Linked DNA regions of Diceros bicornis minor. The protein of the gene in region 2 binds, or shares a complex with, the protein of the main gene of each other region. Links are inferred from orthologs where the notes say so. Each region holds a gene or a part of one and is shown on either strand. Other genes may lie near its edges.

Region 1 (7,385 bases), on a different chromosome or scaffold from region 2:
AAAACAGCAACGACAAAATTGACGAGTAACAAACAACATTGGAAAATAGTTGAGTCAAAGTAATCCATTACTGATAAAAGCTCAACACACATCTCATGTTTAAGCAAATCAAGTCTAACCATCAGTACAAAAATAAAACAAGGCGATCGTCAGGAAAAATCAGATAGGAGTAATCAGGGTGTTGCAAGTCCTGATCACGCAGAGACGCTAATCACGAATCATGCGCACTCCAATCATCATGTTCTAATCTGTCCCCCAAAAAGGGGGAACAGGTAAGGATTATCCTACCTGACGATAACCAACTTTCGCTAGGGCATTCCGTACTCAGGGAAAAAGATTCCGCTAACAACTACGGTGACTATATAATGCGTTAGCCTGAGCAACCTGTTTATTTAAGCTCCCCCACTTCTGTTGGAACATTTATTTGCAGATCTTTTAAAATAAATTTTTTTTCCATTTGGCTGCCAAAAGGGATAAATTAATTCCTCCCAGAATGCTCCATTCACTCACGAGCTTGGAGTCCTAGTCGTACGCGCCACTTATTTACATATCTCCGCCCACCCCCTTCGCCAGACAGCTACCGTAATAACCAAAATAAAAGCGATACCTATTATCTTACAGTCTCCAAAGCTGGAAAACAGCCTTCCGTTTCTCCAGTTGTTTGGCCATCCCGATTCTCCTTTGAAATTTTTATAAGTCTTGATCTTACTCTAAAATATATTTTATTACAAAGAGCTAAATTAAACTTTGATAAGCCTAGACGCGAGAGATAATTACCTTAACACTACTAACACTGACATCTTCCACCAAATGCAGTTTCAGTGGGAGCGCTGAAGCCTACGCCTGCCTTCTTCCAGGAACGGTGAGTGGTGCCTTGCTCCTCCAGCCTTCATCTCTACGTTCCCATCATGAAGGTGATCAGAAAGGTTTCTTTTTCAGCCCAAAGACGCTGACGAATAATGCCATTTCAGTGACAGCTGGGAGGGCGCTGCGAAAGGCAGGTGGTGGATTCAGGGCCCCTTCCAATAAAAATACCCAAATCCCCAAACCAGAGACCCCACTCCCAAAGCCTAGGTGGGGCGGGACTTGAAAAGACCACAGGATGTTGAGTGGATCTGGTATTTCACATATGGAGTAAAGCGCTGGTGGGGGAAACTTTCAGATTTAGAGTAAACCTTCCACCCCCCCATCTCCAAACATTGGACGCTACTGTACCTGCAGAAGACAAAAATGTACCAGTACGTGGTGCACTCCCAACGCTCGAATATGAAAAAGGATAGGGCCACAGACGCACTACAGTGAGCCCCCATGGCTTGAGAACGCACCAGAGTCAAGGAAAGCCTATGGATCGATAGATACTGATGGGCCAGAAAAGGCCAGTGGTGGGGCTGGCATCTGCACTCAGGTTCACCTCTTGCTTCCTCCTCACATTGCAAAGGTCAGAGCCGGTAGCCCTGCCTTCTGAGTTTTAGGACAGCCACGTGAGCAGAGGCCATAGGTGAGCCTGCACAGCTGAGACCCAGGCTACTCCCACCCCATATCTAAAGGCCAGGCTGGACCTTTCCGGTGAGGTAGGAGTAGGCTCCTCCTCTCCCCCAGGCCACACAGGAATGCTCACAGTGACTTGATACGCTCTGCTGGAACTACCCTCCAGCATCCGGGTCCTCCTGGTCCACAATTCAAGTGTCAAGAGCCTTCCCTGATCCATCTTTCTCACTTCCTCTGTTTCTTCTGAGTTCCCATAATGTTTTATATCTTTACACACTCCCACAGCACAGTGCTTATCGCACTGAATTACAGATGGCTGTGTCTGCCTCTTCCTCAAGGCAGAAAACTGTGTTTTACTCCCATTTTTGGATCTCCCGTGCCTGGTGCATAGCAGGGGCAAATGACTAAAGATTGTATTAAATACTCTCCATTGCCTAAAGAGATCTCTCAACTGGGGAGACTGTCCACTAGGGCAGACACTATTGTGCCAGAAAAGCCTAGTTATGTGGCTGAAGGTAGTTGTGATGGAAACGGACAGTGTGGGAAAGGTGCGCAGGCAGAAAGGATACAGATGAGGCTCTGGGTGCTGTTGAACATGGAAACTCCTGAGAAGAAGCCGGCCAGCTCCACTGCAAAGAGGCCCAGGGTGACAGAGAGCGCTGCCACCAGCCTGCAGAGAGGAAAGGGGTTGGTTCAGGCCTTCTGGACTTCTTCTAAGACCCCTCCACTCCCACCACTGCTTAATTCTGACCACCCCGCCCCAAGTGCTCACTGAATGTCCTGCTTCTCGTACTCCTCGGGAGTGAACGTGAGAGGCAGGCAGGCCTGGATGTTGCTGTCCTGGGGAGCAGGGCAGAGAGGAAGAGAAGTGAAAAAGGGGCGGGCTGCGGGGCAGGCCTGGGGGCAGCGAGGCACGGGAGGACCCGACCAGGTAAGGCCCTGGGAAAGAAGCGGGGTTGGGTTGGGACCACCCCGAGGCGGGAATGGGGGCGGGAGAGGGTGGCCGTGGGTCTTACCCGGGACCAGAATAAGGTGATGACGACCACCAGATGCGCCAGGAGCGTCAGGAACCGAGAGGGCACGAGCCCTGAGATCCGGCCCATGGCCCCCAGGGGCAGAGGCACCGTCTGGAGCAGAAGCCGAGGTCTCAAGGGGCTGGAAGTTTAGGGATGGCCACTCCTGAAGTCTCGCAGGCTAGCAGACAAAAACTCGACGTACGCCCCCTTCCCGCTCGCGCTGGCACCGCCCAGTTGCCTCGGCAACCACGTAAGCGGGCGCCGCGGCCGGATCTCTGAAAATCTCGCGAGAGCAGTAAATTCTCCAGCCGCCGTGGACCTCTTGGAGAGCGTAGGTTTGGGGTCCGCAGCGGGTGGTCCCTGCCGGGTGCCTACCGCGGGCCGGCTCCCATCGCGCAGCCGAGCCGTCTGCACGTGAGAGTGCGCGATGTGGCGCAGCCCCGCACCGCCGAACCTGCCCACGCAGGGCGAGCGAAAGGACACCCGCCCTGCCCTAGCCCACTACACCCCTTCCTCCCCGGATGCCCACGCCAGGAGCGGCCCGGCCGCAGACCCCCGCTACGTTGCCCAGGATGACCCTCCGCGGAAGAGTTGCTCACCAGAGACGATGTCACCGCCCCGCCGGGCTTAGGGCACCGCCATGCCCAAGGCATGGACACTCTCTCCTTTTCTCTCCTCCGCATCCCTTTAGCTTCCCACTGCCCTGGGCCAGAGGAGACGAAGGGAACTAAACGTGGAGAGATGGATGTCCCTAGATGGTCCAGCTATCACTTATTGTCACGCAGCCCCTTGTTCTCCGAGGACCCCGGACCTGAACCTTCCTTGATTCTGATTCCCCCCACCTGACTCCCCAGACAACTGACCTTTGGGCCTCAAAGGGGATCCCTGCAGAACGGAAAGTTCTCGGCCGCGTTTATCGCTCACAGTCACAGGAGTCGCGGGGACCCCCCGTCCACTTAGGAGAAGATCATCTTTCTCCCTACTCTCCATCTCAGTGCTTTTAGGACGGTCTAAAGTACAAGACCAAGGGGCATTTCTGATTTCTTGATTCATTCACTCATTCGTTCATTCATTCAACAGATATTTATTGACCAGCTGGTAAGTGCCAGGCACTGTGCTGGGCTCTTGTTCTTGACAGAAGTCTCTACCTTCGTGGGGTTTATATTCTAGTCAGGGAGATCGACAGCAAACATGCAAACAATACGTCTGCATGGTAATAGGTGCCATAAATAAAATTTTAAAAGGGAAACACTAGAATAATATGATCAAGAAAAAGCTGTTTGAAGTGGGTCATTTGCCCTAAAACTTTGTTTTAGGAAATTTGGTCAAAAGTGAGAGGAAATGCATTTCTCTCTTCCAGGCCCTCAGTGTAATAAATGGATTTCCTTTTTATAAACCAGTGGGTGAAAAAATTCAGAATTCAAAGAGATAGTCAAAAGATGTTTCCTCAAGGTCATGAAAGACAAAGACTGAAGAACTCTTCCAGATTAAGGGAGATTAAGATGTGACAAAGTTGACACGAGAAATTTAATGTGTGATCCTAGTGGATCTTGGATTAGGGAAAAAAAACTTTTACTTTAAAGAATATTAGTAGAACAATTGGCAAAATTTGAATAAGGTCTCTAGCTTAGATAATAGTATTTGTTATCAGTGTTAACTTCCTGATTTTTGATATTCTAATGCCTTTATGGATGAGAACGTCCTTGTTAGAAAATACACACTGAAGTGTTTTGGGGTAAAGGGGCATTATGTCTGCAATTTACTCTCAAATGGTTTAGAAAAAATATATGCGTCTGTAGAGATAGAGAGACAATGATAAAGCAAAGACAATGATGTGCCTTTTCAGTGAATGCACAGGGAAATTCTTTGTATTATTTTTGCTACTTTTCTAGAAATAAAATTATTTTAAAATAAAAAGTGTTAAATGATAAGCCTTTTAAAGTTTTCCTTCCAGGTCTTATACAATATTATCATTGAGACATTAAATTGCTGTATAAAAAGAAGGAATGATTTCTAGGATTGAGTGTCCCTAAATGTTGACCTCCTATATATTAACACTATGTAATAACATGTTCATATAAAACCGCCTCTTTAGAGGGCAGCACAGCTTTTTCCTCACAATGGAGACAATGTGATCACCAAAACTCATAAAATAAAAATTGCAATCATTTAGACTTCTCAGAGGAATTATTTTTATAAAGTGTGAGGTTCAGCAAAGTCTCTTTATTCTCCACTCAAAAAATATTTGATGATAATCAAATATTACCCACACTGGTTTCTCAGCTCTCAGCTGTGTAGGGGAGGTTCTCTCTTTAACTGGACTGTTTCAAAGTTCTGAAAATATTTTCAAACTTCCCCCATCTCAGGAGGGACGGGCAAACCCATCAAGTACGGTGGGCCCAACTGCTTCTCTCCCTTGAGGTGACCCTCGTCTTCATTAATGATGTGACAGTGATGACACTGAAATACAATGAGAGGTGGGCTTCCCGTGCTCTCCAACATGGAAATCACAGCGTAGCAAGCGTGGGGACATTCTTAGTACACAGAGAAGATGCAAGGACTGAAGGGCTCCTCATACTCTTCTTCTCTCTGCCTGTAACTTACATGCCTTTTCTCCTGAGAATGGAAAGCCCAGGTCTTCAGGGCCAAGCTCCCCCAGCGACAGTTTATCAAGTCTAACTGTTCACAGGTGAAGGAAGCACTGTCATAGAGTGCAAGTGAGGAAAGCCCGTGACCTTGCTTTTGCAAGACTTCCCAAGGTCCTTGGAACAAATAGAAGAGAAAGAGTCAGCCATGTGGAGATCTGGGGAAAGAGCATTCCAGGCAGAGAAACAGCAAGTGCAAAGGTCCTTACGTGAGGACAAGCCCAGTGTGTTTGTTGAAAGAACAGGAAGCTAGTGTGTCTGAAGTGTGGTAATGGAAGGGGAAGAAGAGATCGGGGTGAGGTGGGATGGGTAGGCAAGGGTCAGATCATGTTGGGCCTTGCAGCCATGGGCAGGGACATGGTCGGATTTGTATTCTAGAAGATGACTTTGGTTGCAACATGGAGAATAGATTTTAAGCAGAAGGCTAGTAAAGAAGCCATCGAGTTCTCCAGGAAGGACAGGATGAAATCAGGCCAGGATGGAATCAAGAAACAGGAGCAAAGTGGAAGGAATCAAGAGATAGTTAGAAATAGGTGAAGGCAGTATAAATTTATGTTTTTAAAAAAAAGAGATAGAAGATAAGAAGGTCTGGACATGGGGCTGTGGGTGGGCGAGAAAAAGAGAAGGGTCTAGGATAACTGTTAGATTTTGGGCTCCAGCAGCCGGAAGTTTGGGGCATTCTGCTTATAGTAGGCTTCCTGCCTAAGGGACCTACTAGATAGTAAGAACTGGGTAGTCACATTTCACATTGTGAGTTAATAAACAACAGGCATTTAGGTCTGTTCTGTCATTTTCTGTGACCTTGGTTCACCGCAGCCTGCTCTACAGAGACGTCTCACAAAAGTGAGTTTTGGAGCCACCCTGTGGCCATAGGAAGCACTGCCAGTGACCAGGTGTCCCCTAGCGGGCCACTTGCTTCAGGGCTGGAACCCACATGTCCTAACATTTGAACTGGTCATAAAACAACTTAGAAAAAAAAATGTTTATCATGGAAAAATTCAAACATGTAAAAATAAAGAAAATACTATAATGAACCCCTTTGAAGCCTACCATTCTCCTTCAACAATTACCAACACATGGCCAACCTTGTTTCAGCTATACTCCTTCCTCCTAGGCCCACCAGGTTATTTTGAAGCAAATCTCAGACATCACAAAATAGTTCAAATTGTCCAATCTCATACATATTATTTTTTCACTGTTTGTCCCTCCCCGTTCCTTGTTTTCTTGCAATTTATCTGTTGAAGACACTGGGATGTTTTGGGCTGTGTACTAGTTGTGTCGTTTAACATGTTCCCCTGCGACCAGTATTTCCTGTAAACTGGTTGTTAGACCTAGTGGTTGATCAGCCTCATGTTCAATTTTCTGATAAAAATACATCATGGTACTTCTCATTCCATCACATCAGGATGCACATAATGCCTGCTTGTCCCTATTTTTCCGTTGTTAAATCTGAGCAGCAGGTTCAGATGTAGTCAGACTGAGGCAACCATTATAAAGTTCGCCATCAGTTTTTCACCTCCTGGTTTATTGATCATCACCGCCTAGCTCCATTATTTCATGAAAGGTTGAGAACTGGGACGTCCTAATTCTATCATTCCTTCTGCATTTATCACCTGGGCACCTGAGGCCATGCCCTCATCAACTCGTTGTTTACCATGAGATACAGGTCACACAGGAAAGCCTGGATAAATGTGTGGTATTTTTTCCCCATTATCTAACAGTTTTCAGAATGAGTCGGTTCCCTAGCATCCTCCAAAAGTGACTAATTAGTTGTTTTTAGTGTCATTGTGAACTTGGAGATTTTAACATCTTTTGTGTGTTCCAGTCCATTGCAGTTGTGATTCTTTTTAATGCTCAAATCATCTCAGTTTGGGCCAGTGGGAACCTCTTGAAGTTGGCCTCTGAGTTGTTTCTTTTCTTTTCTATGTGAAATTTATACAACATAAAATTAACTTTTGCGAAGTACACAATTCGGTGATATTTAGACACAGATAAGGAAACTGAGGCAAGAGTAACATATTTACCTGCCTGAGGACACATGGGCTGTAACTCATAACACCAGGCTTCAAATCCAGGCTGATTTGAGAATCTGAGCTCTTCACCACCACAATCTCTTACCTCTCACTGGTCCTCATTATAATGTGTAGTCATTTGATTTATTACTTTACTCATTTATTGTGTCTTTCCTACTAGAACACAACAAATAAATGCAACAAATAAATGAAGTTCCTTAAAG
Region 2 (7,738 bases):
GTCATTCCTTTCTTCCTAGCAGAGTCATCAGGGCAGTCTGCTCTGGGTCATCATCTGTTTATGAGATGGTAAATATGTAACAAGACTATTGACTTAATTGGGCACATGATCCTTGCCGCGTGCTTGTGATTCTGATGCAGCTGAAAGACCTGTATGTTTGAACATTGTCATTCATCATTTCCTACAGTTGAAATTCCTGATGGATGCTGTGGAATCTAGCTTCATTCTAAAGGTATCTTTGTTATTTTAAGATTGTGTGTCTGAGTAACCAAAATAGGTTTTTGTTTGCTTGTTTGTCTTTAATGAAGTGAAAAATCCTTTGAATTTTGTACCTAGAAATTATTGTTGTTGCATATAGGAGCACTGTTCTAGGTGTTCAGGAAAAGCAGTGAACAGAACAGACAACACCCATGTTCTGATGGAGTTTGCATTCTAGTTGGACAAGACAGAAAATAGGGGCCGGCCCCGTGGCTTAGCGGTTAGGTGCGCACGCTCCGCTACTGGCGGCCTGGGTTCGGATCCCGGCGCGCACCAGCGCACCGCTTCTCCGGCCATGCTGAGGCCGCGTCTCACGTACAGCAGCTGGAAGGATGTGCAACTATGACATACAACTATCTACTGGGGCTTTGGGGAGAAAAAGGGGGGGGGGGGGGAAGGAGGAGGATTGGCAATAGATGTTGGCTCAGGACCGGTCTTCCTCAGCAAAAAGAGGAGGATTGGCATGGATGTTAGCTCAGGGCTGATCTTCCTCACAAAAAAAAAAAAGACAGAAAATAGATATGTCGGGTAACGATAGGTGCTGTTTCAGGAAAATAAAGCAGGGTTGGAGACTAGAGTGATGGTGGGATAGAATGCTAATTAGGTAAAGTGGTTGGCATATTCTAGGAATAAGAAGGATCCACTTGTGGCTGGAGGCGAATGAGCAAGGAGGAATGTGTTAGGAGATGAGATCAAAGAGATCTAGAACAAAGCTGTGTGGCGCTTTGAATTCCATGTGAAGAAATTTGGATTTTATTTAGAATGAAATGAGAGTCAGTGGAGGGTTTTAAACAGAGGTGTGACATGATATGACTTTCCTTTTTAAGTGATCAGGTTAGCTTTTGTGTAGACAGTAGACTATAAGGGGTTGAGGATGGAAGCAAAGGGAACAGTTAAGAGCCTATTGTGATAATCCAGGTGAAGGATGATGTTGGCTTAAACCAAGATGGTGTCTGTGGAGGCAGTGGGAAGCAGTTGTGTTCTAGATATATTTTGAAGGTAGAGCAGACAAAATTTGCTGATAGATTGGATATGAGGTATGAGGGACAAGTCAAGTCAGGGTTTTTGAAAGGATGGAATTGCCATTTACTAAAATAGAGTGGAGCTAGCTTGAGGAGTGAGAATCAAGAGTTTGGTTTTGGATATATTAAGTATGAGATGCTCAAGAGACATATCCAAGTGAAGATGTAGAGTAGGTGAATGGATCTATGAGTCTCAGATTCAGAAGAGAAATACTGAAGCTATTGAACTGGATGAGATCAGCTAGAGAGTGAGTGAAAAAATGAAAATACCTTTTTTGCAAATAGAATTAAACACTGAGGGATGAAGATGGTTGTTCACCATCTGATTGTGAATCAGTGGAGGAGTTAGAATTGGACTGAAGATCCCTGCTTCCCTTTACAGAGCTGGTCATTGTGTCCTAGTCCAAGGCATGTGTACACCACCTTGCGCCTGGAAGAGCTTAGTACACTTCTCAGGGGAAAGATCCACCATTCACCCAATTGATAGTCGTGTCACCTGTTTCAATGATGTGCAATGTCTTTCTGTCTTCTATCTTTACCTACTTTCTTGATGTCTTTTTCCAGTTCACCATTCTAATTGGCTTCTCTGATCTGCCTTGATGATATGCATCACCTTCTTCGCCTATTGGGTCATTACATTTAGCTGATTGAATGTTCTAAGGACACTGGATGCCTTCCTTGAGGGGGTGGTTAGTTGAAGAGGTGAGTCAGGAGGAGAAATAGGATCATCAATATATGCAATGACACATTAACAGACTTATAACACACACAGAATAAATTTCAAATGTTGGAGAGGTGTGTGAACATGGATACTGAGGGATGGCTAGGGCAATGGGGGCTGACATAAAGCCAAGCAAGGCTTACCAAGAAAGACTTCACAGAGAATGTGAATCTTATGTTTCAGAAAGAAAAGTACATTTTCTAAAGGATAAACTTCCCTTAAAAGATAGAAACAGGGACAGGCCTGGTGGCATAGGGGTTAAGTTCGAGTATTCCACTTTGGGGGCCTGCCCCGGGGTTTGCTGGTTGGGATCCTGGGGGCGGACCTACTCACCACTCATCAAGCCATGCTGAGGCAGCGTCCCATATAGAAGAGCTACGACTCTATAACTATGATACACAACCATGTACTGGGGCTTTGGGGAGAAAAGAGAAAAAAGAGGAAGATTGGCAACAGATGTTAGCACAGGGCCAATCTTCCCTAAAAAAAAAAAAAGATAGAAACAAAGGCTGAAGTTGGAATGGGGAACTGGGAAGCCAAAGGTTCAGCAATATAGATAAATGCCAATGTGAAAAAAATGTTGCAAAGCCTTGAAGCAAAAATTCAGGAATTTTAAACTGATTCAAGAGACCCTGAATGGGAGCTTCTAGAAAGGGGTAAAACATGATTAAAATGTGTAGTTTTAAGAGAACAACTCTCTTTGATCTTGGAGGTAAATTGTATGAAACATGAGAAAATTATGGAAATGGAAACTGAGAAGTCAGTTCTCAGTCATGAATGTGTGAAAATGACACAATATACACAGATCTTTAGCATTTAAAAAAATCTAATATTCTCTTAAAGAATTGAAATAAAAACACAAAGACTAGCTTCCTCAAATCATGGAAACAGAGTAAATATTAGTATCTGTTTTTTTTTTTTTTTTAAGATTTTATTTATTTATTTATTTTCCCCCAAAGCCCCAGTAGATAGTTGTATGTCATAGCTGCACATCCTTCTAGTTGCTGTATGTGGGACGCCACCTCAGCATGGCCGGAGAAGCAGTGCGTCTGTGCGCCCCTGGGATCCCAACCCAGGCCGCCAGCAGCGGAGCACGTGCACTTAACCGCTAAGCCATGGGGCTGGCCCTTAGTATCTGTTATTATTAAATACTTTTGCAAAGCTCATGGCATCTCAGGGGAGGCTGAAGCACTTCATACACTTAAATTCTTTTTGTTTTGTTTTGTTTTTTTTTTTGTGAGGAGGACTAGCCCTGAGCTAACATCTGATGCCAATCCTCCCCTTTTTTTCTTGAGGAAGACTGACGCTGGGCTAACATCCGTGCCCATCTTCCTCTACTTTATATGGGCCGCCGCCACAGCATGGCTTGACAAGCGGCGCTTTGGTGCGCGCCCGGGATCCGAGCCTGCGAACCCCGGGCCGCTGCAGCAGAGGGCGCGCACTTAACTGCGGCGCCACCAGACCGGGCCCCAACACATACACCTAAATTCTTAGCAGTCACCTCCCTGTTTCAGCAGTGACCAAGTGACACTAGCTACAGTGTGTGTTTCCTGCTGAAAGAAGGACCTGTGGAGGGAAACACCTCCTTCCTCAGAGCCACCCTCACAATGCGATAGTAGAACCATTTATTCTAGAATCTTATTTTAATGGTTATTTAAATAAATGAAAGTCATCCACTAAACCATAGATAGAATATAATGTCAGAATCATAACATAGCTTTAAGCTAACAATTGCTGTATTTAAGAGCTGTGTTGCCATCCCAGAAAAGCTGTAAAGCAAGAATGAGTAGGACTAGACCAGATATGTCAAAAGCATCATATGGCCGATGACACTGTCACCTTGGACTATGGTAAGGGCCCTAGCTAGTTATCCCAAATGGGCAGATCCTGACCTCCCTCTGTCTGTGTTGTTAGGATCTCAGTTGTTCTCTTCATCTAAAAGCCACTTCTAGGTTGCCTTCAAAATAGGGGCATCAACTACTGGACTCCACTCTAAGCACAAACTTCACACTATCTCTTGGCACTGCAGTGTGATCCTTCAAGCCCTTTTGATGAAGAACTTGGCTGTGAACCATGGTTAAAAAAAAAAAAAATCCTTCTGCCATGCTCGAAATACTGGTTTGGGGGTTAGAAACATTCAATTAAGTGATAAGCCAATGTTATCTTTGGGGAGGACCATAGCTTCCTCTAAAACCAGTAGCCAGGCTTGTACCCAATACATGTAACAAAGTATAGCAGAGAGCTATGTAGTAATTATCCTTTATCCCACGAAGAGCTGCGAGATTTGTGTCCTGTTTCTATGTCTGTCCTACTATGGAGTAGAGTGAAAGCAACGAAACTTTGGAGACAAAGGGACCTGGTTTTTGTCTTATCCCAGGAACAGGTGGAGGATCACGGCCAGTTTATGTTCTGTGTGTTTTCCTCCCATGTAGGGTGTGCTGTGACTAGCTGGACTTAAGTATGAACCACATTGTGGATTAACAGATAACATACAAGCAGCTATTTACTGTAAGGCAACTTTTATGAAAATCTTCTTTTACACAAGTGTTAACACGGGCGGTGGCTATGATTTTGGTGCACGCAAACATTCTACCTCCACCCAGCCTTTGGAGAAACGCACGCAACGCGTAAAGCGGGTCGAGCGTCCACCAGCCCGCATCGCCCCCGTCAGCCCCGCCCCTACGGTGGCCCCGCTTCCTTGCTATTGGTTCCTTTCCCTGCGCCGTCGGTTGCCGTGGAGACCACAGCTATGGCAACTAGGAGAAGCCAAACTTAGTCGTTCCTCTCGAACCGCGGAGGGGTCCCGGGCGTGCGGCGCTAGTCCGCGCGGAGCTCATGGCGCTCTACGAGCTCTACTCTCACCCGGCCGAGCGCGGCTACCGCGCGGGGCTCTGCTCCAAGGCCGCGGTGTTCCTGCTGCTGGCCGCCGTGCTCACGTACATCCCGCCGCTGCTGGTGGCCTTCCGGAGCCACGGTGAGCCTGCCCCCGGCCGGTGCGCAGCACAGCCCCTGCGGCCCGCGGCGCCCCGGCCGGCCTTCCTGACTTCCTCCCTACCGCCCTCCCGCCTTCTTTACCTCAGGGTTCTGGCTGAAGCGGAGCAGCTACGAGGAGCAGCCGACCGTGCGCTTCCAGCACCAGGTGCTGCTCGTAGCCCTGCTAGGATCCGAGCGCGGCGGCTTTCTCGCGTGGAGCACGTTCCCCGCCTTCAACCGGCTGCAGGGGGATCACCTGCGCGTCCCGCTCGTTTCGGTGCGTGATTCCTGCCCTTTTCTAGCCCCCCCACCCCGGGGACTGGGCGGTGGTGGCGGTGGGAGGGAGGTAGCGAGCTGCCCGGCCTGAGCCCCCGGGGAGCCCAGCGTGGATCTTAAGGGTTCGCGAACCCATGGAGGTTGTGTGCACAGGCTCATTGGCCTAAGCCTATTTACTGGCCTCTTTTACTGGTTTAATTTACTGAGAGGTAAATTTCTCGTTTCATTCGACTTCTCCAAGCCGTCTCCAACCCCAAGAAGGTTAGCCACTGCTGTCAGCGTCTGCGTCCTGACAGAGTGCAGAAGCCTGGGGACAGCCTGTCGCTGGCCCCGTCCTTTCCGGGCCTGGCCTCATGGAAGGGTGGTCGGGAAAGTTCGTGGGTCATGAAGGCCGAGCAGTGTTCCTGTTGTAACCCCATCATGTCGCTGCAGTTGTGCATCGCACCACGGTGGGAACGCAAAGGGTAGGCGTTTTTATGAAGACTTGACACATGGAAGCCAAGGCGGTGATTGGTTCAGCGACCTCCCCAGAAAGTCGGGCTGGCCTAGTCCCTGAGCTTGTACCTTTAGATGCTGCTCCATCCTGCAGCTGTCTGGGATGAAAATGAAGCATTTTACTATTTGTAATTTAGTCTTTGGTTCAGGATAAGTGAGTGCTTCCTTGACAATCACCCCTTTCCGCACATTTTCTGAAAACGTTTTGCTTTGGAAGTATGAAAATTCTGGTTTTCCTTCTTCCAAAGTTGAATCTCTTTACACATCTCTGAGCTGATTGGCCTACAAGCCAGACTTGTGCAGCTGAAAACAAAAATTCAGACTTTTTTCTAGCAGCTAAATGAAATGAAAAAAAGTTTTAAACCTTATTGTTATATGAATAACTACAAACAAAATATGATTCAGATTACTTTTTTTCTGGTTACTTTACGTTTTCTTATATTTTTTTTCTGATTATAAAAATGCATGCTCATTGTAAAATATGAAAAAGTTACAGGTATACAGAAAGGCATAAAATTAAAGGCTTAGTTTGGTACATGAATCAATACTTGTTAATTAACCTTATTCTTTTTAAGGTCTGCAAAGTATTTCATAATATAGAAAAACCATGATGGATTTAACCACTTCCCCATTGGTGGATATTTGATTTGCTTTTACTTTTTCACTATTAGAATATTGCAGTGAGTAAGATTTTGAATTGGAATGGAAGCTGTTGGTTGAAATTGTGTAAGTACATGGAAAACTAAGCAAGCAAATAAAACAGTAACTCCAGAGAAAGAAAAAGTAAGGAACAGTGAGAAAGGAAAAGTAATCAGAGTTGTGAATGGTATTTACGTAGTCATAATTATATGAACACTGAGTATTGACTAACCAAAAGAATGGGAAGGGTGTGTGTGTGTGGGTGTGGGTGGTGGGGGCTGGTGGGAGGTGAGGGGAAGAAAACTAAATCTTCATCTTTCCTTGTGGGAAGTCAATAGAGAATGCCTGAAACTGAGAAATCGAGAAGTGCCAATTCAAATGTTAAAACATGGAGATACGTTTCTAAATAATGAGGTAAATGAGATGAAAATATTTGTTATGGGAGTGGAAGTCTGTTTTTCTAACAAATATGGTTGAACACTTTGATTCTTTAAATGCTTAGGTCTTTTAAATTGATTTTAAAAATAGAACTGGAGTAGGAGACATTTCTTTCAGTAGCTCCTCACTAATCATGACATGTTGCCCATTTTTATTATTTGAGATTATAATGCCTCTTGGGAAGGGTGACTGGATGAGAGGCCAGTGTTGAGGTATGCTTACTTTTCATTGTGTACCCAGTGTACTTCTGGTGTTCCATGTGCGTGTGTTTCATTTCCAAAAATGGAAACAAAGGATTTTTTATTCCAAATAAAAAATTAACTTGTTTGGTTTACTTTAGGTTAGCAGTCCCTGTCTTAAATTTTTTTCTTTACATTTGTATATTCCTCTCTATCCTATTCTTCTGGTTACTTGAGTCTAAGAAATAATCATGAAAATGTAAAATAATCATGAAAACAGGGATATAGCGTTAGGTTTCGTTCATTCGTTCTTTTCACTTGTTCATCCACCACAAGTGGTTGGCTCCCCGGTTGGACCGCTGTGTTAGCCTCTTATCTCGGTAACCAGAAACTGCTCCCTTGAGAGCATTGCCCATGTTCCCCCTGCTTCTGGTGTGTGTGAATTCCGATTTTAAATCTACAAAGCCAAGACTACCTCTTTTTTTTTTTTGGTGCCCAGAACCGTTAATCCTTTCATACTGGGTAATTTTTGTAAGACACAAAACCAAAGCTCCTTTTTCTTAGTTTTTTACCCCTTCATTCTAGGCCAGTGCCTATAAGTAATTTATGGCCTTGTTATCTACAGTCTTTCTCAATAAATGCTTTGCTTCCTTCCTACCTGAGCTCTTGGTTTGAGAATAGTTTGAAATCATGAGATACAAGAAATGAGAAGACAGTGGAAGTACAGACCTCAACAG
Region 3 (7,398 bases), on a different chromosome or scaffold from region 2:
TGGAGGCTCTGGTTCAGGGGAAGGGTCCACTTAAGGCTGCCAGGAATCAGGGTTCTCAACCTTGTTCTCCTCAGACGTCACCTGCAGCTTTGAGGCTAAGCCCACATTCACAGGCTACTGGCCAAGAATCAAACCGGCTCAGGTGCTCTGTACTTGGGGTCCTAGAAATATCTTTGGTAATTTAGACAATAAAGCATGGAGAAGGGTAGGAACCTCCCTACTTAGCACTTTTAATTTTTAATGATGATGACTATCTGGATTTTTAATTCCCTATTTTATTCTGTCAAAAGGGGGGCGGGAAACCCTTTTAAAGAAATAGCAGAGCATGAGAATGATAAACACTGAACTCATGGTAGTAATTGGAGGGAATAAGATCAGCGCTCCAATGTAATTTTTTTCTTTTTTCAAAAAAGGATTTCAAGCAAATGCTGGTAGAGAGTCCATACAAGATTCTTATTTGCATGTATGAATTATTTCACAATAAAAATGTAGCTCAAAAAAGGTACAATAACAGACTCTGGAAAGAAGTGTGTAAGAAGGGAAGGTTCTGTCAATAAATACACAATCTTTTGTTAGTCTGAGACACAAAAGTTTACGTGCTTCTCTCTAGCCAAGGACTCCTCTATGTGCTTAGTAAAATAACGCACACTAAAGTAAAAAATAAAGAGAGTGTTCGGGCTCCCTGTCTTATGCATTTAAAATTATAATCTTGATTTGTTTTCCAAACTTAAAACCCTTGTAGGTAGCTATAAGACTACTAAGGACAAAGCAATAGTGTTTAATAACTCCACTTAGGGGAAAAAAAGGTCTCTATCCAGGATACGAGTGCACTTAATCAGCCAACAAGTATCTGTTGGGCACTTGCAGGGTCTAAGTAGCACTCAGCTGCTTTGCCACACCTTTCAATGTCCGCACGCCCGGCTCACAGAGCAGGGCACTCAGAAACAGAGCTGATGCAAGACGAAAGTTATCACTCTTCTCTTCCATCTGTAACCCATTCTACAAAGGGCTGTCCAGTTCTCCACGCAGAGCCAGCCTCCTGCTCCAACACGTACCAGGAGTGTGAGCTAAAATCAGGCAGGTAATTCACCTGCCTGAAAAATGGGGATAGCCCACATCATAGGATTGTTATGAGAATTAAATGAGATACATCACAGATGAAATGCTTAGCACAGTGCCTGCTACACAGTAAGCAGTTAATAAATGCCAGCTGTCGTTTATTATCATTACTTTCACAGGTCTAAGGAGGGCTCCTTTAAAAAGATGAAGTGAAAATTCATCCCCTATACTGGAAAAAAAGCGCTGAACACATGCCCTAATAATGATGATTCAAGAATAGCTTCATTCTGGGGAGAAAGTGGATTAACAGATGAATACTGACATGGATAAAAGACAACACAGTCCAAAAACCTTAGAGAATTTTGGGCCTTGACTACACTGCCGTATTCCGTCCCAATTTATCATTGATTTAACTTCCCTACTAATTCATCAAATGAACAGTTTAAATACAAAACAGAGTTTTGTTTACATATATTGAAACAGAAAATATATTTCTCTGTACTTTTTCTTACAGACTACTCATAATTTATAAAGGAGGCCCTCTGGAGAAATAATGGTTCCGTAACTGAAGTTAAGTCCTACAGCTCAGGACGTCAGCCAATGATGACTTTTCTATTTACTAATATTGAGCCATACTCAATTTAAGAAAAGAGTGCCGGCCCCGTGGCTTAGCGGTTAAGTGCACACGCTCCGCTGCTGGGGGCTCGGGTTCGGATCCCGGGTGCGCACCGACGCACCACTTCTCCGGCCATGCTGAGGCCGTGTTCCACATACAGCAACTAGAAGGATGTGCAGCTGTGACATACAACTATCTACTGGGGCTTTGGGGGGAAAATAAATAAATAGAATCTTTAAAAAAAAGAAAAGATCTTTTTCTCATAAGAAGGGATAAAAAATACTGCATACCTATTGAGGTTACAGTCAGTGGACTTAGAATTTTTAAGATCACAAATCCTTTTGAGAAACTGCTGATTGCTATGAACGCTCACCCCAGAAAAATGCATATTCACAAAATTTTGCACTCAATCTCAGGGTCACAGACAGACATCTCCTGAAGTCATCAATCTCAAATCAGATTATAAAATATTCACTAAATGTGTAACTCCAGGATTAGATCACCTTCCGAGAAATATGTTAATTATCCCTAAAGATGAATCCTAAGAAGTGGGCATAACCCCTTACCCTACAGCTTCCCCTTCCAACTCAACACAGGAGGAATCCTGAGTTTTCATAATTCAAGTCAATAGGCAAGGGCCTTGACCCAGTCACATTTTGTAAGCTAGACTTCTGGCATCTCTTTTTTTGGTAAGTGAAAAGTCTGATGCATCCTATGCATTTCATTTCCACAACTGTCTAGAAACTTTCGATTTTGTCTTCTGCTGCAAATCTGCAAGGATTCATTCATTATTACTTTTAGCATTAACGTTGTCCAGGACCATTGCAAGTACTTTCAAAGATCTGATATTGTCCCACTTACACTCTCTGAGCCTCAGTTTTCTCATCTGTATGCCAGGGATAATAATATCTACCTCGCAGGGTTGTTGAGAGAATGAATGCCTATGAAACACTTAGCAATGCCTGCACACAGTAAGTGTTCAATAAACGTTAACTATCATTATTACATCCTCACTCGGGCTACCCTCCCTCCAGGTTAGATTACTGTGGATCCCCAGGAGTTGGCACTTGGTACCCACCGTCCGTAACCGGGGTGGGCCTGGGGCCAGAGGAGGGCCGAGGGGCCCTGGGGGTCTCGGGAGGCCTAGGCGACAAGGCAGGTCGGAGAGTCATCAGGGCTGCCTCCGTAGAGTTGAGGCCCTCCGTCGTCACCGCGGAGGTGGCCCCGGCCTGGGCGCTCCCAGAGGCCCAGCAGTCCAGGAGCACGAGCAACAGCGGCGGGAGATCCCGCGGCCCCATCCCCTGGCCGAACCCGGAGCAGCCAGCACCAGGGGGACCAGACGTTGCCAAGCAACCGCGGCAGCCGGGCGCGGGGCATTACGGGAAGAGTCCCTCGAGACCTCGCGAGACGGCAGGAGCTGAGGGCGGGGCCTGGGAGAGGCGGGCGGGAGAGGCGGGAGGCGGGAGAGGCGGGAGGCGGGAGAGGCGGGAGGCGGGAGAGGCGGGAGGCGGGAGGCGGGAGGGGGCGGGGCCTGGGAGAGGCTGGACACGAGGGGCGGTGTGAGTCCAGTGGAGACGAGCGGCTTGTGAAATTGTGTTGTGCTTCCCCGCGGCCTCCGGCGCTTGTTTAAAAAGTGCGGATTTGCAGATTACATCTCAGGGGATTCTGATTCAATAAGTCTACAGCAGGGTCCAGGAATTGATATTTTTAACAAATGTCTTGACGCAACAGTCGGGGGACAGAAATTTGGGAACCGCTCTCCTAAAGCTACTAAGTAGGGTCTTTTGCGGGAGCACAGAGATCACATCATCATCCTTGAATTTTCTGTCTCCCACACCCTGTCCACGCTGGCTTTGCCTTTTTTGTTTTAGATGCATCGCAGGAGATCGCCAGACAACTTCTGTTCACCGTGTTGTGATAAGCGGGACAAATGAACACAACTTTTTTACCCACAAAAACATTGACAAAAAATAAGTAGAATGATTTATACATCTTAAAAAGAAAAAACAAAGCAAATCTGTAACTCTACAAAATGACACGGAGACCACAAGACTTAGGGAAGCACTTCCATTCTAAACTGGCTTATTTATAAAGGTACTCCAACTCAGGGATGTTGGCTATACCTTTGACGGTTCATCTCCTTACAATTCAGAAGTAGATGTTAAAATACTTGAACATATCGTGGTATCTATTCAAGAAACACATTTCCACAGTATATATACCTAATTTATTAAATTTATATAGCAAAGCTAAATCATCAAAGTGACATCTTTAGCATCTTCCTGTGGCATTCCAGAGAAAATGTTTTAAAGTGTAATTGGATCACTCAAATGTGTAATACAGATATTTCCAAATTTTTTTTCTCCAAAGGATTGCTTTAGTGTCTGATTGAAATTTTGGACCACTTTTAATAACTGATACAACACTTCCCTTAAAATATATTTTTTTTTTTTCCCCAAACTTTCATAACTTCTAAATCCAGGGCTGATTGTTGTTGATTTTTTAAACCTTCTCTTATCTTCCAGGCCTCTACTTTCTTTTGTATTCCTTAATATCAGTGAATCACTTTGTCCTGTTTTCTGTTTTGAAATTTTAGGCTGTTGGACCAAATCTTGATAAAGTGCCCTTCGGTTCTAACATCTTCATCTTTATGGTTTGGCAAATAATCTCACCACCCCTTTTTGTCCAATCTCAAACACTCGGTAGATGGCCCAAAAGTAATTTTATGACATCTTACAAAGTTGAAATGAGGGTTGCATCAACTCAGATCCATTTTGCAATCCTTGGGAACATTGAAACTTTTCATTTCACAGGTGACCCATTTCTGCCAGCCTTTTTTCATCTTTCAACCCAGGGGATTCTTTCTCTTCTCCCTTGGCCTTGGTAGGTTCCCTCATTAGGATGGAAGGACAAGAGGCGGGGCTGAGATCTATTTCCATATTTTCTCCAAAACCACAGCATTTGGCTTGTGCATAAATGTTTGTGATTTAAAATGTCCATCTGTTTTTCTAGGATTATTGGCATTCTCAATTCCTTATAGTCTGCGCCAACACTGGGAGGAATCAAGACAATTCAGCTTTTTGGAATTCTGCACTTGGAAACTGCCGCATACGAGGAGTCAGAAAAACCACAGACAGGAGTAGCTGGGTGGAAAAATAGCCGAGGCTGACTTTACAAGGCAGCATTAACCACTCTGTCTTAGTGTTTGGTGTGGTTTGGGGTGAATTGGTTATTATTGTTGTTTTTATTATTGCTAAAGTTGTGGCTTCTAATCTGTCTAAAATTAGGTATCCACTTTTTCCTATGATTAAGTATATCCATCCATCTTTATTCATCTGAGCCAAATATTTTACAAATAGGGAGGCAGAATCATCAAGCTTTATGAAGGAATTGCTTAGCACTACGGGGAAGAGAGATCGAGGCTGTGTGAGGTCAAAGGATAGACTCTATCGTTTTGACTGAAGGGAGCAGTCCAGTAATTGATTTCTCAATCAGCACCCAGAAGAAAATAATCCTCAACTTCTCTCCTCCTCCCAACCCCATATGCCTGGTCAACCACCAGGCACTTTTCTTGTTCTTCAAATGTTTTCTGAAACATTATGGGGGCAGAAGGGCTATTTGAGCAGTCTACACATTCTTGAATAGTCTCAAATTTACAAGTTTAACCTTTTCTGAAAATGAAGTAATAAATACCATCACAGATATACACTGACAGGAATGAAATAAGAATTCCATGTTTACCAGACAACTTGAAACTAACATTCTATCATTGGACCATACTGCAGTTCTAATAAACCAGTTGGCTTTTTAAGAATCAATTTTGTTTTTATTATTTTCAGATTGAAACATTTCACTCACAATGAAGGGTACAAAAAAGAACACCACTGTCCACTGCACATTTTGCATATTTACTCCACATTTCTTTTTAATCAGGTTTATTGAGGGATAATTTATATACAGTATAATTTTGCATATGGTTTTTGGTGTGCAGGTTTTCTCATGCATCAATGTACAGTTTTTTTGGTGTACAGTTCTAGTTTTATGACTGTATGTAACAAACACATACAGTCATGTAACCACAACCACAATCAAGCTATAGAACAATTTTACCACCCTCAAAAGTTTCTACATAGCCAACCCCTCCCACTCCAGACCCTGAGGACACTGATCTATCTTCTGTCTCTATAGTTCTCCTTTTTCCAGAATGTCACATCAGTGGAATCCTACAGTATGCAGCCTTTTGAGCCTGGCTTCTTTCACTTAGCCTAATGCCTTTGAGATACATCCATGTTGCGTGTATCAATGGTCCATTTCTTTTTATTATTATTATTATTATTATTATTGTGGTAAAAAACACATAACATTAAACTTACCATCTTAATCATTTTTAAGTGTACAGATCAGTAGTGTTAAGTGTTTTCACATTGTTGTGCAACAGATTTCTAGAACTTTTTCATCTTGCAACACTGAAACTCTATACCCACTAAACAGTAATTCTCCCATCCCCTCCCCTCAGCCCTTGGTAACCACCTTTCTATTTTCTGTTTCTATGATTTTGACTATTTTAGATATTTCATGTGAGTAGAATCATCCAGTATTTGTCCTTTCATGACTGGCTTATTTCACTTAGCATAATTTCCTCAATTTTCATCCATGTTGTAGCATGTAACAGGATTTCCTTTTTTAAGGCTGCATAATATTCCATTGTGTGTATATGTATATATATATCACATTTTCTTTTTCCATTCATATGTTAATTGACGTTTGGGTTGCTTCCACTTCTTCACTATTGTGAATAATGCTGCTATGAACATGGATGTGCAAATATCTTTTCAAGATCCTGCTTTGAATTCTTTTGGATATATTCCAGAAGTGGGATTGCTGGATCCCATGTAATTCTATTTTAAATTTTTTTGGGGAACTCTATACTGTTTTCCATGATGGCTGCACCATTTACATTCCCACCAACAGTATATAAGAGTTCCAAGTTCTCCACATTCTCGCCAACACTTGTAATTTTCTCTTCTTTGGTGATGGCCATCCTGATGGGGGTAAGGTGATATCTCATGGTGGTTTTGGTTTGCATTTCCCTGATATTAGTGATGTTCAGCATCTTTTGCCATGCTTATTGGCCATTTGTATATCTTCTTTGCAGAAGTGTCTATACAAGCCCTTTGCCCATTTGTTAATTGGGTTATTTGGTTTTTTCTTGTTGAGTTGTAGAAGTTCTTTATGTATTCTGGCTATTAACCCCTTATCAAATACATGATTTGCAACTATTTTCTCCCATTCCGTAGGTTGCCTTTTCACTCTGTTGATTGTTTCCTTTGACACACAGAAATTTTTGAGTTTGATTTAGCCCCATTTGTCTATTTGGTTGTTGTTGTTGCCTGTGCTTTTGGTCTCATATCCAAGAAATCATTGCCAAATCCAATGTCTGAAAGTTTTCCCCCTATATTTTCTTCTAGGAGTTTAATAGTTTTAGGCTTTACGTTTAGGTCTCTAATCCATTTTGAGTTAATTTTTGTATATGATGTGAGGTAAGGATCCAACTTCCATCTTTGCATGTGGATATCCAGTTTTCCCAACACCATTTGTTGAATAGATTGTCCTTTCCCCATTGTGTAGTCTTGGAACCCTTGTCAAAAATCATTTGGCCATATATGCAAGAGTTTATTTCAGTCCATTCCTTTTTATTGCTGACAAGTATTCCACAACGGAGA
Region 4 (7,548 bases), on a different chromosome or scaffold from region 2:
AGTGGCATTTGCCTTCTGTAGTTAAACCACTAGGGCAGGAAATGCAGTTCCAGCCATCTTGAGTAACACCTTTCTAAATTTAAAAAAAAAAAATTATTTTCTCCTTAACTGATTATATAAGTTCAAAAAGCCACAATAGTGTATAATTTGTAGTTAATATTCAAATAAATCATAAACATATGAGCCACATAAAAATTTCCTGGATAGCCAATTTGTACTTATATTTCCAAATGGAGCTATACATTATGACTATGTACTGACGACTATTAACTCTGGCCAATAATTCTTTCTTCTTCATGATTTTCAGTTCAAATGAGTCCTTACTTTCATAATTAATATTGTCATTGAGTTTTTCCATTTATAAAGATAAAACAACAAAATTCAACAAGATTTTATCAATAGATAGCCAATTAATAGGTTAGTCTTATTTGTTCTAAAATAATTATTCTAATTTTTAAAAATTCAAATACATTAGCTTTTAAAAATTGTTATGATTCAAAATGGGTGAATTTTATGGTATATAAATTATATGTAAATAAAGTTGTTAAAATTAAATTATGAGGATATTTCCTCCCATCCATTAATAGCTTGTATTAATAAAGGTTTTTGATAAAATATGACATCATTCAAAATGGGCTTATTATATTATATTGTTTAGGAAAAACCTGGGGAAAATACAGTAATTATAGTACAAACATGGATGTAACCAAAATTAACGGAGAACAATGGCAATAACAAAACAATGCCACAAATTATTTTAAATTTTGGTTGAAAAGACTGAATATGTTCATAATTAAATTCACTCATCTACTTTTCTTTATAACTGAGTTACTCTAAGAGGAAAAATAGACACAAATTTTCAAAGCTTTTTGGTTTTCTGGATTCCAGATTTTAAAAACCAAAGCAATACATTTCTGTTTTTTCTAAGTTTGCATAAAATTTCACTTATCTCCCAAAATCTATTCAAACAAAAACAAAGTCAGCTTAATAATTGTAAAGTTTGTGGGAAAATATTAGAGTACAGCATCTAGTCATAGTTTAAAAAATAAAGACATTTAATTTACTTTTTACAGTAAAATTATTTAAAAATAAATACTCCATACCATGTTTTCTGGGCACTTTTTACAAATAATATCAGGTCCTCCATTATTAGAGATCATCTGAAATCCTGGTAGACACACACATGAAGTTCCTAAAAAGAAAAGAGCCAACTTTGACCTTGGTAAATAAAAATAAAACTCCAAGATAGGGAAACTTGTAATAATTCTTAAGATCTTGAAAAGCAGCATAGTAGTTAAGAGCAAGACTCTGGAGCCAGTACTGCCTTGGTTCAAATGCAGAAACATACTCCTTGGGTTCTAATCTTGATTCTGCTACTTGGTTGCATAACCTTGAACAAGGTACTCAATTTCTCTGTGCCTGGGCTTCCACTTTGGCAAAATGAGGACAACAGTACCTACCTCACAGGGTTAGGATGAGTATTAGTTATGTATGCATATGTATTAGTGACATGTCAGTATGTAAAGGTCTTAGAATACATCTGGCACACAGTAGGCATTGTGCTTGCTACCATAATAACTAGACTATTAAATTACTGGATTAAACTAATAAACTATTGATTTATTGCTATGGGAAATTTTACCTTTCTATTTCACCCAATCATACACATATATTCAATGAATTCAAATTTACTTTGTCAGAACAAAACCGTATTAGGAAAGTTACCTTGATTAGAGTAAAAATCAGTTTTCCTCTGTTTGGACAGACAGTAAACATTATAAGATAATCACTATTCAACTTGCTGGGTAGGTAAGGACGGCATTTTCTAAGGAGGCATTAAGTGGAAACAGCACCCACAGGAATCTATGTAATAGAACGCACATGATATCTGGGTTCATAATGCTTTCTCATTCATATTTTCTCAGCTGCCGAGCCTGACCTGTCCTATACAATGAATTGCATGAGGATATATCACATTTGAAGATGGCAGAAAGTTAATACCACGGGTGACTAAATCAAGATTAAAAACATCTTAGACTTTAGAATACGGGAAAAGTCTTATTCTGAGCAGTGCAGGGAGGAGAACTAGGATCAAATGATGGACGTACCAAGAAAAAAAAATAAGCTTAATCTAAAGAGACTTTAAGAGCAATTAGAAATATTCAACAATAAAAGGGATAAGTCCTAAGGAAATCTATAATGTTAAGGACACACTATAGAGTGGAAATACAAAGTTGGAGACTGAGAGCAGAGAGACACTTCCAGAGTCCCCCAGTCCTAATTTAGGCGACACAGAAGACATTACAACATCATCTGGGCTTCAATTTCCTAATCTGTAAAATGAGATGACTGGACCTGATCATGGTTAAGGTCTCTTCCAGCTCTCAGTTCCTGGGATTTGAAAAGCAAGATGACGGGCTATTCAAGTTCACACGCGCTAATTTGCATTCCCTTCCCAACCTGTCCTGTCTCCCGCTCCTCTGCACCTCAGGTTACTCCTCCATTTCTTTTCTACCTTCGGGGGGCAGCTTTCCAGGTGCCTCTCTAAAGACCCCTCGGACGAGGAATGGGGGACTGGCGACGGCTCACAGGGTTGCGGGCTCGGGATTCCCCAACCTCATCACCGTGCAAGCTGCAATCCTCAAAGGGAACCCTTCTCTCAGGCGCCGGCGGTTACCTTTCCTGAAACATTCTTCCCGCAGATGAAACGGTGTTCCAGCGACGCCGGGGTCTGGGAGCAGCGCCAGGGCGGCAATGTTACTTTCCAGAGCCCACCCCAAACCGTCTCACCTCGGGAGTCCTGCCTCTGGTTGGCTCCACACGAGACACAGGAGAGCGCGGAGATATCGAAGTACTGGTTGTGGCCGCACGTCTCCGGCTGCCGGAAAGGTAAGGAGAAGGTCTGGGCCTGTGAGAGGCGAGGGAGGACCAACACGAGGAGCGCAGTCACAGCCGCGGGGGAAGAGGTGGACCAAGCCTCCATGGTCGCCGCGGTCCCACCGCCGCCCGTCACCATGGTGCAGACGCCGGCGGCGATCAGCCCCATCAGCCCCTGCGGCGAGTCCGCGGAGCCGATTGGACAACTCCCGGCCTGGGGTTCCGGAAGTATCTGCCTGCACTGCCTGGTTGCTAGGTTACCAAAGCCCGGAAGCTGCCTAGTCCGAGAAAGGATGGGTTGGAGGAAAGCTAACCCTGGATCCTGCAGGCGCGACCGGCTGTTTCAAAAGGTTGTTTCAAACTCTGGGACGCGACCCATTAGCGGGACGTGAAATCAATTTAGGAGGTCAAGAAATAGGATACCACAGCAAAGAAAATATCTGATTGTACCACAAAATTAAGAGTATTGTTTCATTAAACCGTTGAATGATGTTTACCTCAGAATTTATCCAGACTGGGTCGTGGTGAAGGAGACATTCCATCAATGTATTTGTCAAAATACATTTGTCAGGGGCCGCCCCGTAGCGCAAGAGGTTAAGTGCGCGCGCTCCGCTGCAACCCGGTTCCGATCCCTGAGTGTGCACGACACACCGCTTGTCAGGCCATGCTGTAGCGGCGTCCCATATAAAGTGGAGGAAGATGGGCACGGATGTTAGCCCAGGGCCAGTCTTCCTCAGCAAAAAGAGGAGGATTGGCAGATGTTAGCTCAGGGCTGATCTTCCTCACAAAAAACAAAACAAACAAAAAATACATTTGTCAAAAATGTGGGGAAAACACCTATTTGAAATATGCAATGCTGGAAGATTGGCTCAAGCACTAAAAAAAAGATCTTCCTGCCAGACCTTTCTTTGTGTTTCTACTTTCCTTGTTTTGAGGACAGGAAATAATGTATATAAAATGAAATAATCTTTACCCTACTTGTTAATAAAGAAGGAACCTAATTTTTTAAATCAAATTTACACATACATGAATTTTGTCTTTCAAAGTAGGCACCCTTGGAGGCTGTTAGCCCCAAAACATTTTAGAATTACCTTCAGAGCCAGTTTATAGATCATAAAAGAAAAAATATATATATATTTTTTTTTTTGTGAGGAAGATGGGCCCCTGAGCTAACATCTGCCAATCCTCCTCTTTTTTTTGCTGAGGAAAACTGGCCCTGGCCTAACATCCATGCCCATCTTCCTCCACTTTATATCGGACGCCGCCACAGCATGGCCTGACAGCAGTGCCTCGTTGCGGGCCTGGGATCCAAACTGGCGAACCCCGGGCCACCGCAGCCGAGTGTGCGCACTTAACCGCTTGCGCCACCAGGCCGGCCCAGAAAAAAATATTTCTTAATATTTAAATCTCACTTCTGTTTTTGTTGTATTTTGTTTGTTTGATTGTTGTTATTTTGTCCTCCTCTCCCCTTCCCAATAAAATCAGCCGGCATAATTTTAAGCCACTTTATTCATCAGTAGTAGCTTGAAATGACTTTTGGCTTTCTCAAAAAAACAAATTTTGGGGCTGGCCTGGTGGCACAAGCAGTTAAGTGCACGTGCTCCGCTGCGGGGGCCCGGGGTTCGCTGGTTCGGATCCCGGGCACGCACTGACGCACCACTTGCCAAGCCATGCTGTGGTGGCATCCCATGTAAAGTAGAGGAAGATGAGCATGGATGTCAGCCCAGGACCAGGCTTCCTCAGCAAAACAAAAGAGGAGGATTGGCAGATGTTAGCTCAGGGCTGATCTTCCTCACCAAAAAAAAAAAAAAAAAAACTGTAAAATAAATTTCCATTAAAAAAACAAATTTTGTAATAAAAATGATAATTTGTCACTATTAAGGAAAATACACACACACACACATAATATTCTCAATGCATGTGGAAAACACATTTAAGGAAGTTACATAACTTTAACCATTAGCTACCATTAGGCCTAGAGTTCCTCATGTGTCCTTCCCCAAAAAAACCAGCATTCACTTAGTCACTAATATCTATGACACAGGAGGTGTATGTTCTGCAAACTCTTCCTTAAAGAGGACTTCTAAAAAATGTTTTTGAGTAATTACCGTGTTGTTGGAGTGACTAATTTGAAGTGGAAACCACTTACCTGAAAACAATTTTGAAAAAACACGTGACTATACAAATGTTAATGGGGACTCAGAAACGGTGTGGTCAGAATAGTTGAGATTAATCTGCAAAAGCTTCCTACAGGCAAATTTTAACTTTAGTCTTCCTTAATGAAGTGCATACTGTTATATGCTCAGTGGAAGGGATTAGGGCAATAATATTTACTCATTGCCTACTATATAATTAAAGCAATAAAAGAGCTCCCATTCATGATGGTCTTCTTTGTGTCCCCCACTAAGCACTGTGCTAGGCACTTAACAGCATTAACCTTAACTCTTCATAATAACCCTTTGAGGGAATACTATCCATTTTTTTGTATCCTTTTACTAAAAAAGAAACTGAGGATCAAAAATGGTACATTTTAGGAAGTGGTGAAACTAGAATCTATCTCCACCTGGCCAACTCCATAACCTGTTATCGTTTCAATCTATTAAGTGGCTTCTTTGTGGAATAGATAGAGAAAAATTTTGGTATATTCTACATGTAGGACAAACCTACTGTCTTTAGTTAACAAGATGATATTGACATAATATACCACAGACAGCTGAATGATGGTTATCTGAGACCTTTGAGTGCTGCATCTAACAAAACTGCCTCAAAGAGCTAAATAGAGATTATTTGTAGCAGAAAGATTAAAATAGACACAGTTAAATTTGAGATAACTGTAGATACTATAGGTTTGTCTGTGTAAATTGCCTACAAGGATAGGAGAAAGAATGTTAGCTAAAGCTGTTAAGCATCAATTGGGACTGTATCATTAGGGATATTTTTGCTACAAGTAATAGAAGATCAGGTAGTTTAACCCAGTTCACAATGGCTTAAACAAAAATAAATATGAGAAGTCTGGAGGTAAGTGGCTGCTGGTGTTCGTTCAATGATGTCAGATAGTCATCTCTGCAGTTCTCTTGGCTTTTCCCTCTTAGTTGCAATATGAATGCCTTACACCAGATATCAAAATTCGGATTTAAGATGAGAAGAAGGAAAAGAGCTGAACTAGAGATGTTGCCTCTGTCTCTTTAATCAGGAAAGCAAATGTTGTCTCTATGCCATGTGTTGTGCTAAACTTCCTCCATGCATCATTTCAGTCTTTTTAACAACCCTATGAATAGGCAGTACGGTTATACCCATTTATCAGGCTTAAAGACATGCCCAGAGTCATCCAGCTGAAATGTGCAAGAGTTATACATAGAAGCGGATGTGACTAGGAGAACATGGTTTAATGTCAGCTTAGGAAGAAGGGTACCAAAAAAGGTGAGAAAGTGGGTTCAAAGAGGATATCAAACGCTTATTGAACACCTAGAATGAGATAGGTACTGTACCATGCCTTACCTACATTATCAAAATTAATCCACTCAACAACCTTATGAAACCTATAGTGTTGTTACCATCTTTTTATAGGTGATTGAATGGAAGCACGTAGAGATTTTTTAAAACCTGCGTCAAAGCACAGCTTGTAATTTACAGACACAAACTTTGAATCATGGTATTTTAACTCTTGGGGCTGCTTAACCACATGCCCCCTAACAGTACAAATGCTGCAAAAAAGTCAAGGAGGCTGAGGATGGAGAAAAAGTGTTTGGATTTGGCAACTAGGTGATCATTAGTTACCTTTTAGAGTGCAGTTTCATTACAGTGGTAGGAGTGGAAGCAAGCCATAGAGCAGTAGTGAGAAAGAACAAGCCCCAGATAGAGGCTACTCTGAGGAACTTGGCATTGAAAGGAAGGCAAAAGAAGGGACTGAGCTAAAAGAATTTTAATTTTTTTTTTTTTTTTTTTTTTTTAGGATAAGGAGAATATAAGTGGAAAGGAAAGGAGTAGTAGAAGAGAGATTCAAAATAAAGAGAGGAATAATTGACTCTCTCTTGAGCTCCTAGGAAGGGGTCAAGGACTAGGATGTAAGAGTGGGAGAAGGACCATCTCAGGGGAGGAGAGTCATTCTTTCACAGATTGGAAGAAAACAGGAAGATGAGTGAATCCATAAAGAAATCCTGGGCTGGGGAGCAAAGAAATAGAGCAAAATCAGTTTCCTGAGTAAAGAACATAGGTAAAAGTAGGAAATATTTTGAAAAGGCAGAGTGGATAATTGGAAGGGAAATCATTTAGTGATGAAAACTGACAGCAAGTCTAGATCTTGCCTTCAAGGCTAAATCCTGTTGGAGCAAGAGCAGATAGAGGACAGGCCAGGATATTTCTAGGGTTAAGGTGAACAGTTTGTGGAGAAGATGAGTGCAGTTTGGTTATGCTGAACATGAGTTGCCTACTTAGGTAGAGAGGTATAGTAGAAATGGATGTCAAGGTGTAGTGCTTGATGAAGAAGTTGGAACCAGAAATGGGAATCATCTTGAGTATTCCAACGACTATTGTGTTTTGAATCCCCAAGCTGAGTTAAGAGAGGCATAATTGTCTTGACATGAGTACAGCCATGTTTGGCCGCTCCATTGACCTACAGCCACCAGCACAAAAAGAAATATAAAAGCTGCTTTCTGTGTGGTGGGAACTGGC

What was found.
Region 1: TMEM231 (region 2) and TMEM107 share a complex: the UniProt entries of both Homo sapiens proteins name them as parts of the tectonic-like complex. The link is inferred for Diceros bicornis minor from reciprocal best matches to the Homo sapiens genes TMEM231 and TMEM107.
Region 3: TMEM231 (region 2) and TCTN1 share a complex: the UniProt entries of both Homo sapiens proteins name them as parts of the tectonic-like complex. The link is inferred for Diceros bicornis minor from reciprocal best matches to the Homo sapiens genes TMEM231 and TCTN1.
Region 4: TMEM231 (region 2) and TMEM67 share a complex: the UniProt entries of both Homo sapiens proteins name them as parts of the tectonic-like complex. The link is inferred for Diceros bicornis minor from reciprocal best matches to the Homo sapiens genes TMEM231 and TMEM67.

The regions. Positions count from the first base shown.
Region 1 is NC_080757.1:10,232,263-10,239,647, reverse strand, and holds TMEM107 (transmembrane protein 107), read right to left. Parts: upstream 2,762-7,385; 5' UTR 2,592-2,761; coding exon 2,505-2,591; intron 2,329-2,504; coding exon 2,261-2,328; intron 2,159-2,260; coding exon 2,058-2,158; intron 1,313-2,057; coding exon 1,216-1,312; intron 989-1,215; coding exon 919-988; 3' UTR 521-918; downstream 1-520. UniProt on the Homo sapiens protein: Plays a role in cilia formation and embryonic patterning. Requires for normal Sonic hedgehog (Shh) signaling in the neural tube and acts in combination with GLI2 and GLI3 to pattern ventral and intermediate neuronal cell types.
Region 2 is NC_080771.1:25,997,474-26,005,211, reverse strand, and holds the start of TMEM231 (transmembrane protein 231), read left to right. Parts: upstream 1-4,734; 5' UTR 4,735-4,836; coding exon 4,837-4,975; intron 4,976-5,081; coding exon 5,082-5,251; intron 5,252-6,416; coding exon 6,417-6,471; intron 6,472-6,715; coding exon 6,716-6,798; intron 6,799-7,738. UniProt on the Homo sapiens protein: Transmembrane component of the tectonic-like complex, a complex localized at the transition zone of primary cilia and acting as a barrier that prevents diffusion of transmembrane proteins between the cilia and plasma membranes.
Region 3 is NC_080774.1:9,091,811-9,099,208, reverse strand, and holds the start of TCTN1 (tectonic-1), read right to left. Parts: upstream 3,007-7,398; 5' UTR 2,974-3,006; coding exon 2,754-2,973; intron 1-2,753. UniProt on the Homo sapiens protein: Component of the tectonic-like complex, a complex localized at the transition zone of primary cilia and acting as a barrier that prevents diffusion of transmembrane proteins between the cilia and plasma membranes.
Region 4 is NC_080760.1:13,097,867-13,105,414, reverse strand, and holds the start of TMEM67 (meckelin), read right to left. Parts: upstream 3,017-7,548; coding exon 2,791-3,016; intron 2,777-2,790; exon of another isoform or gene 2,678-2,776; intron 1,193-2,677; coding exon 1,104-1,192; intron 74-1,103; coding exon 1-73. UniProt on the Homo sapiens protein: Required for ciliary structure and function. Part of the tectonic-like complex which is required for tissue-specific ciliogenesis and may regulate ciliary membrane composition.